3 linked regions of the Sus scrofa genome follow. The protein of the gene in region 1 interacts with the protein of each later gene in a pairwise test. Links are inferred from orthologs where the notes say so. Each region holds a gene or a part of one and is shown on either strand. Other genes may lie near its edges.

Evidence for each region.
Region 2: the proteins of PITX1 (region 1) and SPAG8 interact in binary tests that used the Homo sapiens proteins (3 or more experiments, as listed by UniProt). The link is inferred for Sus scrofa from reciprocal best matches to the Homo sapiens genes PITX1 and SPAG8.
Region 3: the proteins of PITX1 (region 1) and ZBTB32 interact in a two-hybrid assay, tested with the Homo sapiens proteins (2 studies listed by BioGRID). The link is inferred for Sus scrofa from reciprocal best matches to the Homo sapiens genes PITX1 and ZBTB32.

The regions. Positions count from the first base shown.
Region 1 is NC_010444.4:137,204,277-137,208,019, forward strand, and holds the start of PITX1 (pituitary homeobox 1), read right to left. Parts: upstream 2,397-3,743; coding exon 2,228-2,396; intron 1-2,227. UniProt on the Homo sapiens protein: Sequence-specific transcription factor that binds gene promoters and activates their transcription. May play a role in the development of anterior structures, and in particular, the brain and facies and in specifying the identity or structure of hindlimb.
Region 2 is NC_010443.5:236,529,367-236,533,094, forward strand, and holds the start of SPAG8 (sperm-associated antigen 8), read right to left. Parts: upstream 2,816-3,728; 5' UTR 2,199-2,815; coding exon 2,110-2,198; intron 2,008-2,109; coding exon 1,206-2,007; intron 1,104-1,205; coding exon 929-1,103; intron 730-928; coding exon 684-729; intron 598-683; coding exon 483-597; intron 361-482; coding exon 298-360; intron 190-297; coding exon 70-189; 3' UTR 1-69. Other genes in the region: HINT2 (histidine triad nucleotide-binding protein 2, mitochondrial isoform 1 precursor), read right to left, coding at 3,045-3,136, 3,245-3,317, 3,406-3,510, 3,609-3,728. UniProt on the Homo sapiens protein: Microtubule inner protein (MIP) part of the dynein-decorated doublet microtubules (DMTs) in cilia axoneme, which is required for motile cilia beating.
Region 3 is NC_010448.4:45,141,273-45,145,015, reverse strand, and holds the start of ZBTB32 (zinc finger and BTB domain-containing protein 32), read right to left. Parts: upstream 2,777-3,743; 5' UTR 2,743-2,776; coding exon of another isoform or gene 2,714-2,742; intron 2,708-2,713; exon of another isoform or gene 1,640-2,707; 5' UTR 1,541-1,639; coding exon 666-1,540; intron 470-665; coding exon 333-469; intron 224-332; coding exon 155-223; intron 32-154; coding exon 1-31. UniProt on the Homo sapiens protein: DNA-binding protein that binds to the to a 5'-TGTACAGTGT-3' core sequence. May function as a transcriptional transactivator and transcriptional repressor. Probably exerts its repressor effect by preventing GATA3 from binding to DNA.

The sequences.
Region 1 (3,743 bases):
ACCGAAGCGCCGGCCTTCAGCGGCCGCCCTCCCGCCAGGGGCCCTGGAATTGTCCCCATTAGAAAGAGCCCGCCCGTGCCGGATATCAGTAGTCACCTCTGGCCCGGCTTGTCTGGGAGAAGAGCCCAGGAGTTGGAGCCCTGGGCCTAGGTCCTAGCTGGGCAGGGCCTGCTCTCACAGCTCGGCTCCTGCTCGATCCCTACTGCTGATGTCACTGGCGAATGTACATTTTTAGGGTTCTTGGAGTTCTAAGCCAGAGGGGAGCTCTGCTTTTCTAGGCAGAGGGTCAGATCTTTCTAGCCCGAAGTTGAAGTTATCCGGTTGGCAGGGCGAGAGCCAGGAAGTGGTTTGCAGGCTCTCCACCCTCTTTTCCCCAGGGCTGTGTGGGAGTCCCACCGGGCAGGCACTGCACCGCCGGTTCTCGGCCTCAGCTCCAGGCCCCACGTCTCAAGGCCCAGAAAATCCCTCTGGCGGCAGCCGAGCAGGCCAGACCCACAGGCTCTAAGTGACCCTGGGGCTCTGCCTCTCTCTCTTTGAAGCTACACAAAACACATGCAGTCATAGAAACATCGAAGCATAAAGAAAAAGAATTTAAAAACAAAACACAGAAGCCTAGGAAAGCTCACAGCTCTATGCCTAAAAACATTAGAAAGGGTCACACACTCTTAAAAATAGGCAGGTAGAAACACAGCAAATGCAAATTAAGAAGCCAGAAACCTCCGTGCAAACACATCCCTAACTAAATACAGTGCTGTACGTGTATAAACTCCAGGCAGACACCGGCATTTATTTATCTGGGACTTAAAAAAAAATCAAGGTACTGTTGTAGATAGTTTTTTTTAACCCCTTCCCAAATAATGCTCTTCTAGAGGTAATTTTTAAATCCCAGAGAAATACAACACTCTAGTTAGATAAATTCCCCAAATCACACCCCTGTAAATGGACTTTGAGAAAATCCCGGACAAACGCGCCATTTTGGATTGAATTTTTAAAATGTCTCGAAGAATAACGTTGCATGCAGATATTTTAAAATTCCGGAGAAATGTACTTAGGATAGCAATTCTTTCTATACTGAAAAATACAGTTAAATTTTAAAGTTTATCCTCATAGACTTGGTTGTTAAAAGCAATCTGTAACGATTTCTCTGAGCTTTAACAATAAAAACCAACCCAAGCCCACGCCTAAAACTTTTGAAAACAAAAGTACAGTCCAGCGCTGCTTACTTTTTAACCAAGCAACAGAACCTCTCAGAGAAAGTCACTTAGGGATGCAAAACAGAAACAAATAGAGATTAAAAACGCGTAGAGAAACACTCAGCGGTGGATTAAGAAATGAACGCAGAAGAGGCGCCCGTAGCCGAGAGAGCAGGGAGCTGGGCGGCGGCGCGGAGTCAAGACCGCGAGCGATTCCGAGACTCGGGAGCCGGGACCGGGCCGGGTACTAACCTCGCCACGGCCCGCGCCGCCCATCGCCGGCCCAGCAGCGGCCGGGGAATAAAGCTCGAGCCGGGACAAAAAGGTAGCGCGGAGGGAGACGTGCCTGAGCCGAGCCGGAGACCTGGCTGGGCGGCCTGGCGGCTCCGGGCTCCGGCGGCGCACGTGGGGCCGGGATCCCTGGCTTAGGGGGTCCTCGCCGGAGCCGGGCCGAGCCCCTTGGCCCGCTCGCCCTCGCTGTCCTCTCCTTTTCTGTGACCTTAGGTTGTTTCTCTTACTCCCTGTTTGCTTTTCTCACTTTTCCCGCCACCCCTGCTCTTGGGTCTCTCCCTCTCGCAGTCAGTCGCCCACGGTGTGTCGGGGTGTCAGTACTCTGCTTTCCTGGGCACTTTCTTTCGCCCACCGCCCCATTCCTTTCTGATCTGCTCTTCGCCTTCGGTCTGAGCGACCCGGGTCACCCAATTTCCTCCCCCACCCCCGCCCCGTTCTATTTGCTCCTGATCAAGAGGGGCTGTCAGTCCGACTCTCCGGTCGTAGGTTTATGCATCTGCCGGTCACTTGGCGCGTGGGGATCTCATGGAACTGTTTTCGGAAAGCACTAGATTTCTGTTTCTGAAAGTGTGTACATTTCCGCGTTCACCCTCAGGTACAAAACGGGAAAAGGAAAGATCCCGACGCTCCTGGGGTGTAGAGCGAGCCTGCCTGCGCGGCGCGGGTGCCAGGCCCTGCTCCTGGCTCCCTGCGCCCTCCTGCGGAGTAGGCTCCGTGCGCGCCTCGCAGACAGCCGCGCTTACCTGGCAGCTCCGTGTCGGACGACTCGCTGGCGGAGTTCTCGAGAGGCTCGCGGGGGTCGGCAGCGCGGGCTAGGTGGAAGGCGGGCCCCATGTCGTGCGGCGGCGGCGGCGGCGGCCGGAGCCCCTCCGGCAGCCGCTCCAGACTCATGCCCCCCTTGAAGGCGTCCATGGAAGCGGGGACCGTGGCGGGCGCTCCGGGGGCCGGGGCTGGGGGCACCCGGCCGCCCTGGCTGCGACCTGCGAGAACGAGAGCGCAGCGTCTAAGCGGCTGCCCCCCAGGGCTGCCCGCGCCCGCAACGACGCCGCGCCCGCCCCATGGACCGCCCGGGGCTGCGGGGCCAGGCGGGCGGCAGCGGCAGCGGTTTCTCGCGACCGGGGGCCCGGCTTCGCGCTCCGCGCTGCGCTCCCGCCGCTCGGGCCTCAGCCGCCCGCCCGGCCCCGGCTCCGGCTCCCGATCCGGGGCCGGTTTCTAAGGCTCCGGACCGCGCCGGCAGAGCCTGTCTTAAAGCGACAGCGCGCACCGCCAGGTTCCAGCAGTCCCTGCGCCAGGGGTGGTGGGTGGGGTGGGCCGGGGTGGGAGGGGGCAGGGAGGGAGGGAGGGAGGGAGGGAGGAAAGGAGCAGCGAGCGAGGGAGCGCGGGCGGAATCCAGCCCCGAGCCGCCCGCGCCGCCGCGCCCTCTCGGCCGCCCGCCCTCCCTCCCTCCCTCCCGGCCTCACCCGCGCCCTCCCCCTCCGCAGCCACCTTCCCGCCGCCTCCCCCCTCCCGCGGCCTCGCCGCGCCTCACCCTCCTTCCCCCCGGTGACACACCGAGTTCTCCCTCGGCCGCACAAAAGAAACGCATCTGGCCTGCAAGCCCCTCGCGGCTCGTGCCCACCTCAAGCCCCAAATGACTTGTTTCGCTCGAAATCAACTCCAGTCTGGGCCGCCTCGAAGTCCCGAGTCCCCGGCGAGAACAGCCCAGGCCGAGTGAATGTTCACCGAACAGGATCGCACCGACCGGTCGCCGGCGAGCCAGCGCCAGGGCGGGGGCAGAGCCCGGGGCTCGTTCCGGCAGCTCCCAGCCGCGTCCTCGTCCAGGGGCCGCCGGCCCCTCCTTTCCCGGCCTCTTCTCCCGGGACCCGAGCCAGGCTGAGTGACAGCAGCCCGCGCTCTAATGGGCCCCCGGATGCTGCCTCCTAATTAGCTTGGACCCTCTCCCCCAAGGCGGCTTGCTTCTCAGGCCTCCCCCCTCTGCACCACAGTCAATTTTCCGGGATTGGGATAGAACTGATGGCTTCTAATCAGACGAAACGTTTCTGTTGGCTCCAGGCCGCTGGCGAGTGCAGCAGGAGACCCCAAGAGCCCTGCCAGGCCCCACATCCCCTTCGAGAGGACTCTCTCCTTGTTTCGCCCTTTCAGAGGGCTCACCGAATCTGCCTGGCTCTGGCCGTGGCAACCACGGGGTGGGCCTCTGACCCCCTTCAGGGCAGGTTCCCAGGGCCTGGGACCTCACTTTGGCTGCCCAGAACTGCAGGC
Region 2 (3,728 bases), on another chromosome or scaffold:
TGGAGTGGTTCTATCCCCTCCACCACCCCGCCCTCCTCCCTGACAGGCAGGGGAGGATATTTCTCCCAATTAGTGGGAATAATCCTCAGGTTCATAGGGCAAAGGCTGCCCTAGAGACAAAGGCACTGGTGTTGAGAAGCTGCAGTTCTTCCTGAATGGCGTGTCCAGCGTCCTGATGTTACTGACGCCCTGGAGGACAGACCCAGAATGAGGACAGACCCAGCTCTCAAGCCAGAACAGAGCAGCCTCTCCCCTTCTGCGCCCCCTCCCCCCAAACACCTGGTCCCTCTCACATACCGGTAGCTGCGGTGCCCTCTGTATCCAGAAGGTTTCAGGCTGCTCAGTACGGTAGTCATGAGGCTGTGAGGGAGAGATATGGAATAACTCTTGGCTTGAAGCTCCCTCTCTCAACCTCTGGGCCTGCTGCTCTCCCATAGGCTGTCAGGGCCCAGCTGGCCAAGTGGGGTGGGGTAGGTTCTTACCCTTGTTGGAGTAGGAGGCCCTGCATGCACCAGCTCCTTTCTGTAGTCATGATGTGTCACAGACTCGACCTCAGAGTCCTTCCTTGTGGCTTCCTGCTCTGCCTGCACCTCTTTACTACACAGGCCTGGGGAGTGTCAAGGCCATTTTCCCTTGATTTTTGTCCTCCCCCTCCCCTTTCCCAACTGCACCCAGTTTCTCACCAGATCTGGTGGCGCAAGAACATCTCCAGCATGGCTTCACGCTTCCCTGTGGGAGGTCAGGGAATGGACAGAGTGGGGGGGAATCTGGTTAAGACACAGGCCCCAAAGAAAACTATTTGGGAAAAGGAAGGAGAATCAGGTTTTGCCCTTACATCCATCAGACAATCCATAGTCCCACCCGATATTCCTTCCTCTCCTTTTTTCTCTCATGGACTCGTTCTGGTCCGTTCTCTCATACTTCGTACCTCGGACTGGCTGAGAGTGGTTTCCTGGGGGCTGGTATGAATCTTTCTGGGTGGTTCTGGAGGACATGGGTGACTGTGGCCACAAGGTCAGCAGCCCCTGGTGTCCATGTCGGAAAAAGAAACTCTCAGAGCCATCTTGCATGCTTGGGACTTGATCCAGGTGGTTGGTGGCTCTCTGTGGGTCCCAAGTAGAATGACCATGATATCCTTTCTGGTACCCACCCTCATCAACTGGGGGCAGCTTTCAAGCAGAGAGAGCAGGTCAAAACCTTAATACCTCCTCCTCCCAGTTGTAGAGAAGGCACTGGCCCCGTGGCAGTGTTTCACTGGGTATCTTACTCTTCCCTTCAACCTCAGAGGGCTTCCAGTGTCCTCGGGTGCCAGGTTCTGATACTTGCAAAAATTTCCAGGGTTGTTTCTGAGGCTCCCAGTGGCTGTCGTGACTCCAGGAGGCATAATTAGGGACCAGATCTGCCCTTGGGTTTCTGAAGCCTGGAGGAGCAGAGGAGCTGAACCCAGGGTCATGGCCACAGCCTGGACTATGCCTAGAATCAGAGGCAGGACCGGGACCAGTGCCTTCACCAGATCTACCACCAGGGCCTGGACCAGAGCCACCACCAGGACCAGAACTGGTGCCAGGACCAGGACTAGAGCTGGAGCCAGGAACAGGGCCAGAGCTGGAGCCAGGAACAGGGTCAGAGCTGGAGCCAGGAACAGGGCCTTGGCTAGAGATAGGATCATTTGCAGTGTAGGAATTTCGAGCAATATGGGAGACCTGGACAGGCTCAAAGCCAAGTCTCCCATGGCCTATCTTGTGGGTAAATCTGGGGGTGGTGTGGTGCGCCGCAGTAAGATTGTCAGAGAAGGGCTCCAGGAGAAGGCTCCGTTCTGAGTAGGGCGCTGGGGTCTGTGTAGATAATGCAGCTGCCTTGGCAGTGGAGGCAGCTGCAGTGGCTGCAGCAGCTGCTGAGGCTGCTGCAGTTGCAGCTGCCAGAGCCGACCTATGACGGCCATCCAAAGAAGGCAAGGGATCTGAAGTGGTCCCTAGTTCTTCGGAGCTAGGCTGTTCGTCTAAAGAGCTGAAAAAAAGTGAAAAAGGCAAAGTCGTCAAAAGGGCAGCGGGGGAAGTCCACTGACCTTCCTTGTCCCCTTATGCCTGCAGCCAGAGCTGCAGATCTCACCGCGATGGCGATAGCTCTGTGGAGTCAGTGGTTTCCATCTTGCGACACTCGCTACTGGGTACTGCGTTGCTATAGAGACGGCAAACCATTCCAGGAGACTGCGCAGAACTAGAGCTGGGCGGACGTGGAGGGCGGGGGTGGGGGTGGGGGTGGGGGTGGGGGTGGGGGTGGAGGCAAGTTCTCTGCGGGGCGGAAGTCTTGAATCTGGTGCACTCTGGGAAGTGCGCTTTCCATCCGGCCTGGCTGCTAAGATTCGCCGGCCTAAGGTCTCGCCCTTCATACCCGCGCAGGACTTTTGGAGGCTTTCTAAAGTGGTTCTTTGTGTTGAATACAGGCACAGTGCTGTGGAATCAGACAAAAGCCTACTTGATGTGTTTCTACAAGGGACAATGGTAGCTTCCCCTAATTTCATTCTCAAAAGTGGGGCATCTTTTTAAAATTTTTAAGGTGGAAAATACATCAGACAACAGCTTAAACAGAATGGTGAGACATGGGGCAGCAGATGTTTTGAGTGTGATAACTTCTCCAATGAAAGGCCCTCACCTTGACCCTCCTCCTTCCAGACCCCCTTATAACTTGGCTTGGTATCTGAATTGAGCAAGTCTTGGGATACTGGCTTTACTTATTCAGGCACATTCTTAGAACTGCTGCTTTTCTAGAAGTTTAACCCAGGTGGACCATGAGTCATGAACTCATAGATACACAGGCAAGTGCTCCTTTGACTGCATCATGGGCTTCCTTAGTGTTTCAGACCATAGTCAAGGGGGATCAAAGTCTTGAATCAGTTTTCTTTTCTATTTGAGGTATAAATCTTTATATATTTAAGACAGGGATCCAGAATTGAGGGAGAACAAGTTTATTGGCATCATTGGGTCCTGTTATTTCCCTACCCCGTCCAAGCATCCAAGTCTGGGGTCCTTGGTCCTTTGGTAGGTTCAACCTGGAGGCCACTGGAGCTGTCTGCCCCCAAGTACATGAATGTGCAGGTGATACACAGACTGTGCACCCAGCTTCCCATCGTTGATCACTGAAATGGTGCGTCGGGTTAGGGGGTTAAGATGGTCAAAGAATGAAGATCATATTGAGAGGTTAGATCAATTGATGGTGAGGGGCTCAAGGGCCAAATGTCACTCACCAAGTCGGTATCCATCTCCCAGTCCTTCAGCCTTTGCTGTCTTCTTTGCCACAAGGAGAAGGTGTCCTAAAAGCTACAGGGAAAGGGGAGGGAGACAGGTGGCTTCATTTACAGGGAACAAAACCTTTCCCTCAGCCAAACCCTGGCCCTGTTCTTCCCACCTGCTGGTCTTCTTCTTCAGCCTGGCTAATCCGGGGAATGGGCTTCTTAGGAATGACCAGGAAGTGCACAGGAGCCTGAGGGGCCACATCACGGAATACAAGACACTGGGAGCAGTGAACATGCCAGAGGCCACCATGTTAGTTCAACAAACTGGATGGTATTTATGAAATTCTTAAGGGGATGGGTCCTAAGGGTACCCCACCTGCTGGTCCTCATATAGAATGTCAGCTGGGAGGCTTCGATCCAGGATCCGGGAGAAGATGGTTGGGGCTGCTCCCCCAGGAGCTGCCCGCTGGGCCTTGGCCACTTCATTCCCATCAGT
Region 3 (3,743 bases), on another chromosome or scaffold:
GCCACATGACCCACACAGGTTGCAAGTTCACCTGTGGGGACAAAAGGCAAAGGAGGGCAGGGCTGGGAATCCCAGAGCTGGATCACTGAAACTCTCAGGCCAGACATCCGGGGCCACAGTGGGGCTGAGGCAAAAGCGTCCTCACCCTACTCACCTGTGTGCCTCTGATCAGCCTCCTCCATCTCCCCGGGGCTGAGTGCTGTGGGGCCCTGGGGGAGGGAACCTGGAGGGAGCAGAGTGAAGTACGGATCCTGCTCAGCTGAACTCCTGGAGCCCCAGCCCCAGCTGAGAGACCACGTTACAGCATGCGTGCCAGGCAGTGAGGGGCTTACCTGGGGTAGGGCTGGAGGAGGCCAACTGGTTCTGGCTCCAGAGGCCTTTGTGGAGGTTCAGGGACAGTGGGATCCTGGGAGTTGGATGGGGAAGGGTTACAGCCCTGGCTGCACCTGGCATCCTGGCCAAGCCCTTTCTGGGGAGGGAAATGTCAGGAGTCCTCTGCTGGGGCTGAACTTTGGCTTTCCCTGTGGCAGGAGCTTCCTGACCACTCTCCAGCTCAGAAAGTGTATAGTGGAGATGAGAGATATGGTGCCCTTCCACCCCTCACCGCTGCCTGTCCGCAGCCGCTCCCTCCCAGCTGGAGGTCTTCCATAGGCCCTTCAACTCACCTCTGGTCCTGAGGCCAGACCTCTTGCCAGGCTCCAGTGATGGGGGTGCTATGGGAGAAGGGAGTGCCATATCTGGGCGGCAATAGCAGGATGCTCCACAGGGCAGGCAGGCCCTCCCCCAACCAGGGGGCCTCAGCCCACCAGGGCCTAGGGGTGATGCCGGTTTGGAGGGGACCTGATGGGGGAAGGGGGCCAGGGAGCTCCCGCAGATTTTCCTCAGAGCCCCCTGGACCATCCCTCACCCGCATGATCATTTCTTGCTTCCCATGGCCAGTGGGGGCTTGGTTAAGTTTCTCCTTTAGTCTCATCTGTTCCCTTTGACCCTCCCAAGTTGTCTCTGCCATCTCAGGGCTCTCTCTTGGTCGCCTGTGCCTGTGCAATGTCTCCTGTTCTTGCTCACCAGCTCTAAAGAACATCTCTGCTCTCTGGTTCTCTCCAAAGCCCTCCACTCCTCTCAGAGAATCCCCTATGGGTTGCTCTGGTTCCTTCTGTTGTTCCTTCAGCCTTGGACCCAGCTCGTCTTTGGCAGGGTCCCTTTGAGCCCTCCTGCACGCCTCTTCCAGGGACTGTACCCCCAACACTCTGGCTGCCTCCTCAAGGGGGCCCAGTTCCCCAGGTTGCAGCTCTAGACTCTCCCCATAAACAAAGTGCAGAAGTTGGGCAAAGGTAGAAGGGCTGATGCCTTTTCCCACAGCCCAGCAGCCCCTGCGGCCCAGCTGCTGGCTCACACCTGCCAGCACCAGGCTGTGGGCAGGGAACTCCTGGCTCCCCACTGTGATCAGGGTATCACATAGTGCTGGCCGGAGCCTGGCTGCTAGCCGTACCAGCCGATCAGAGCCATAGGGACTAGGCAGTCTTGTCGGGGACAGGGGCATTTTGCCTTGCCTGGGTACCAATCTCAGAGGTTCTGAGAGAAGGGCCACAGTGTGGGGTCCATGGTAGAAAGGGGAGGGAGGAACAGCATATTCTCAAGCCTGTGGAGGTGAGGGGAGAAAGAGTGAGTGGTCTGAATCCGAACTCTCTGTCCTGAGGGGAGCAAATGGACTAACCCAAGAGAGGACCTGAGCTTCTCTGGAACCATAACAGGGTGGGGGTGGTGGGAGAATGGCTGTTAGACCAAATTCAGGACTTAGAGAGCAAGGGCCAGACGGTTAAGAACTGTATCAAGCAGTGGGGTGAAGACCAGAATAGACGGGTCCTGCCAGCTGGCAACGTCTGACTTAAAGGAAGCAGACATGGATACTGCGGCTTCTCCAAGCTCCTCTGCAGGGAAAGACCTCTGAGTAGGCCAGGCGCCCCTCATTCCAGACAGAGAGAGCACCACGAAACCCAGTCAGCCCTGGAAGTTAGGGATGGAGCAAGATACAGCTTCAGGAGAAAGTTCAGTATGTCCCCCTGCTGCAAGCCCATCAGGCGGAGCTGAGGGTCCCGAGAGGAAGAAAGGGCAGCAAGGCAGGGGTCGTAGCCACAGGAGGGCAGGCTCTCAGGCATCAATCGATCATCTCCCTGAGGCCCAAAACTTCTAGAACCCATCCTCAGAGAAGGAACTGGAAGAGACCAAAGAATCCCATGCAGTGAGTTAAGAGAGGAGGTCAGAAGCCACAGGAGACAAGGCTCCTCGCTCAAGGATGGAGAGACCTTGCAGAAGCCTTGACCCCTGAGGAAGGGGAGAAAGGGAAATGGGAACTATAGAGGGAGAGGCCATTTCCTCTCAAGATTAGGTAGGGAGATGATGCAATTTTGTTTTTTATAAGCCAATAGTGAAGAGTAGAAAGACAGACCCCAACAAGGCAGAAGTTTATCACACATCAAAACCACCACTTTGGACTTTAAGAAAACTGGGAACTCAGAAACAGAGGGACAGACCTAAGTGTGCCACTGCCCAGCAGGCGTATTCCTGGGTGTGGGCTCACCGTGAGTATGGACCCTATAGGAGGGAGGGTTACTGCTTGGCTACCTTGGGGAGAGGGCCACAGGGTGGCAGGAAGTGGACCGAAAGGGAGCTGTAATAGAAGGAAAGTCTCAGCTGGGGAGAGGCCACCACTCACCGGTTGTAGCTTCCTCCTGGACACCGCATGCTCTGAACTGATGTTGGGGCTCCTGTTCCCCACCCTCACCCCCCACCCCCCCCACCCCCGAGCTAGCCCCGCCTCTGACCTCACAGCCTTCCATTGGGTGTCCCAAGTATCAGTCTGCCACAATCCCCCAAGGGGTGTGGTTTTAAACCCCTGGCTCCACTTCACCCTTCCAGGAGAGACCATGGCTCTACTCCCAGAACCCAGGCATTGTCTCCTAACCTCCTGTCTTCTTATTCATTTGTGAACTCCTAGAGTCATAGAAGGGTCTCTGAAGCAATAAGAACTTGGGGATAATCAAACCAGCATTTGACTCTCATCTTTGCCATTTACTGGTTGAGTCACCTTGGGCAAGTCACCTCTCTGAGCCTCAGTTACCTCACCCATGAAATAAGGATCACCTCTGCTTACCACAGTTGGAGGTGGCGGGAAGATGACATGATGAATGTGAAAGTGGTTTCTCGGTACCTCGCATCGCTCAGATAGTATTAGTTCTGTTTCTCAGAGGTGTCAAGAGAGCTCTAGCAGCTGGAAGCTGTTTCTACTTCCTCAGAAGTAAAAAGGACTGAAACATCTGGATTCCAAGGAGAGTGTGAAGGAGGACCCAAGGCATGTCTCCGGCTCCCTCTCCCTGCCTTGGTACTAGCAAAGCCCTGACTGCTTTGTGGGAATGACCCCTGCCATCTGAGCCACCACTGGGAACTGGCTGTGTGAGTGACTCAGATCCTCCTATCAGGCTGTGAAGGGGGCAACCCCAGGAAGGGCCTGCGGTGGTCTTCGAAGAGAAAAAACTCCTTTTCTTGGGTTGATGACAAATGACATTTCTCTGAAATCAGGACTCTGGGGTTTCTTTCACTTCCTGCCTAGGGGGTGAAGGTCCTCAGAGATTTCCCCTCTTTTCACACTGTAGCACTCCTTAACCTGGGGAAAAGATGAGGTCTGAGAGACTCACATTTCTTTTTCTGTTTCTTATTATTTCATCATTCCTCATCCTGTGATAGAT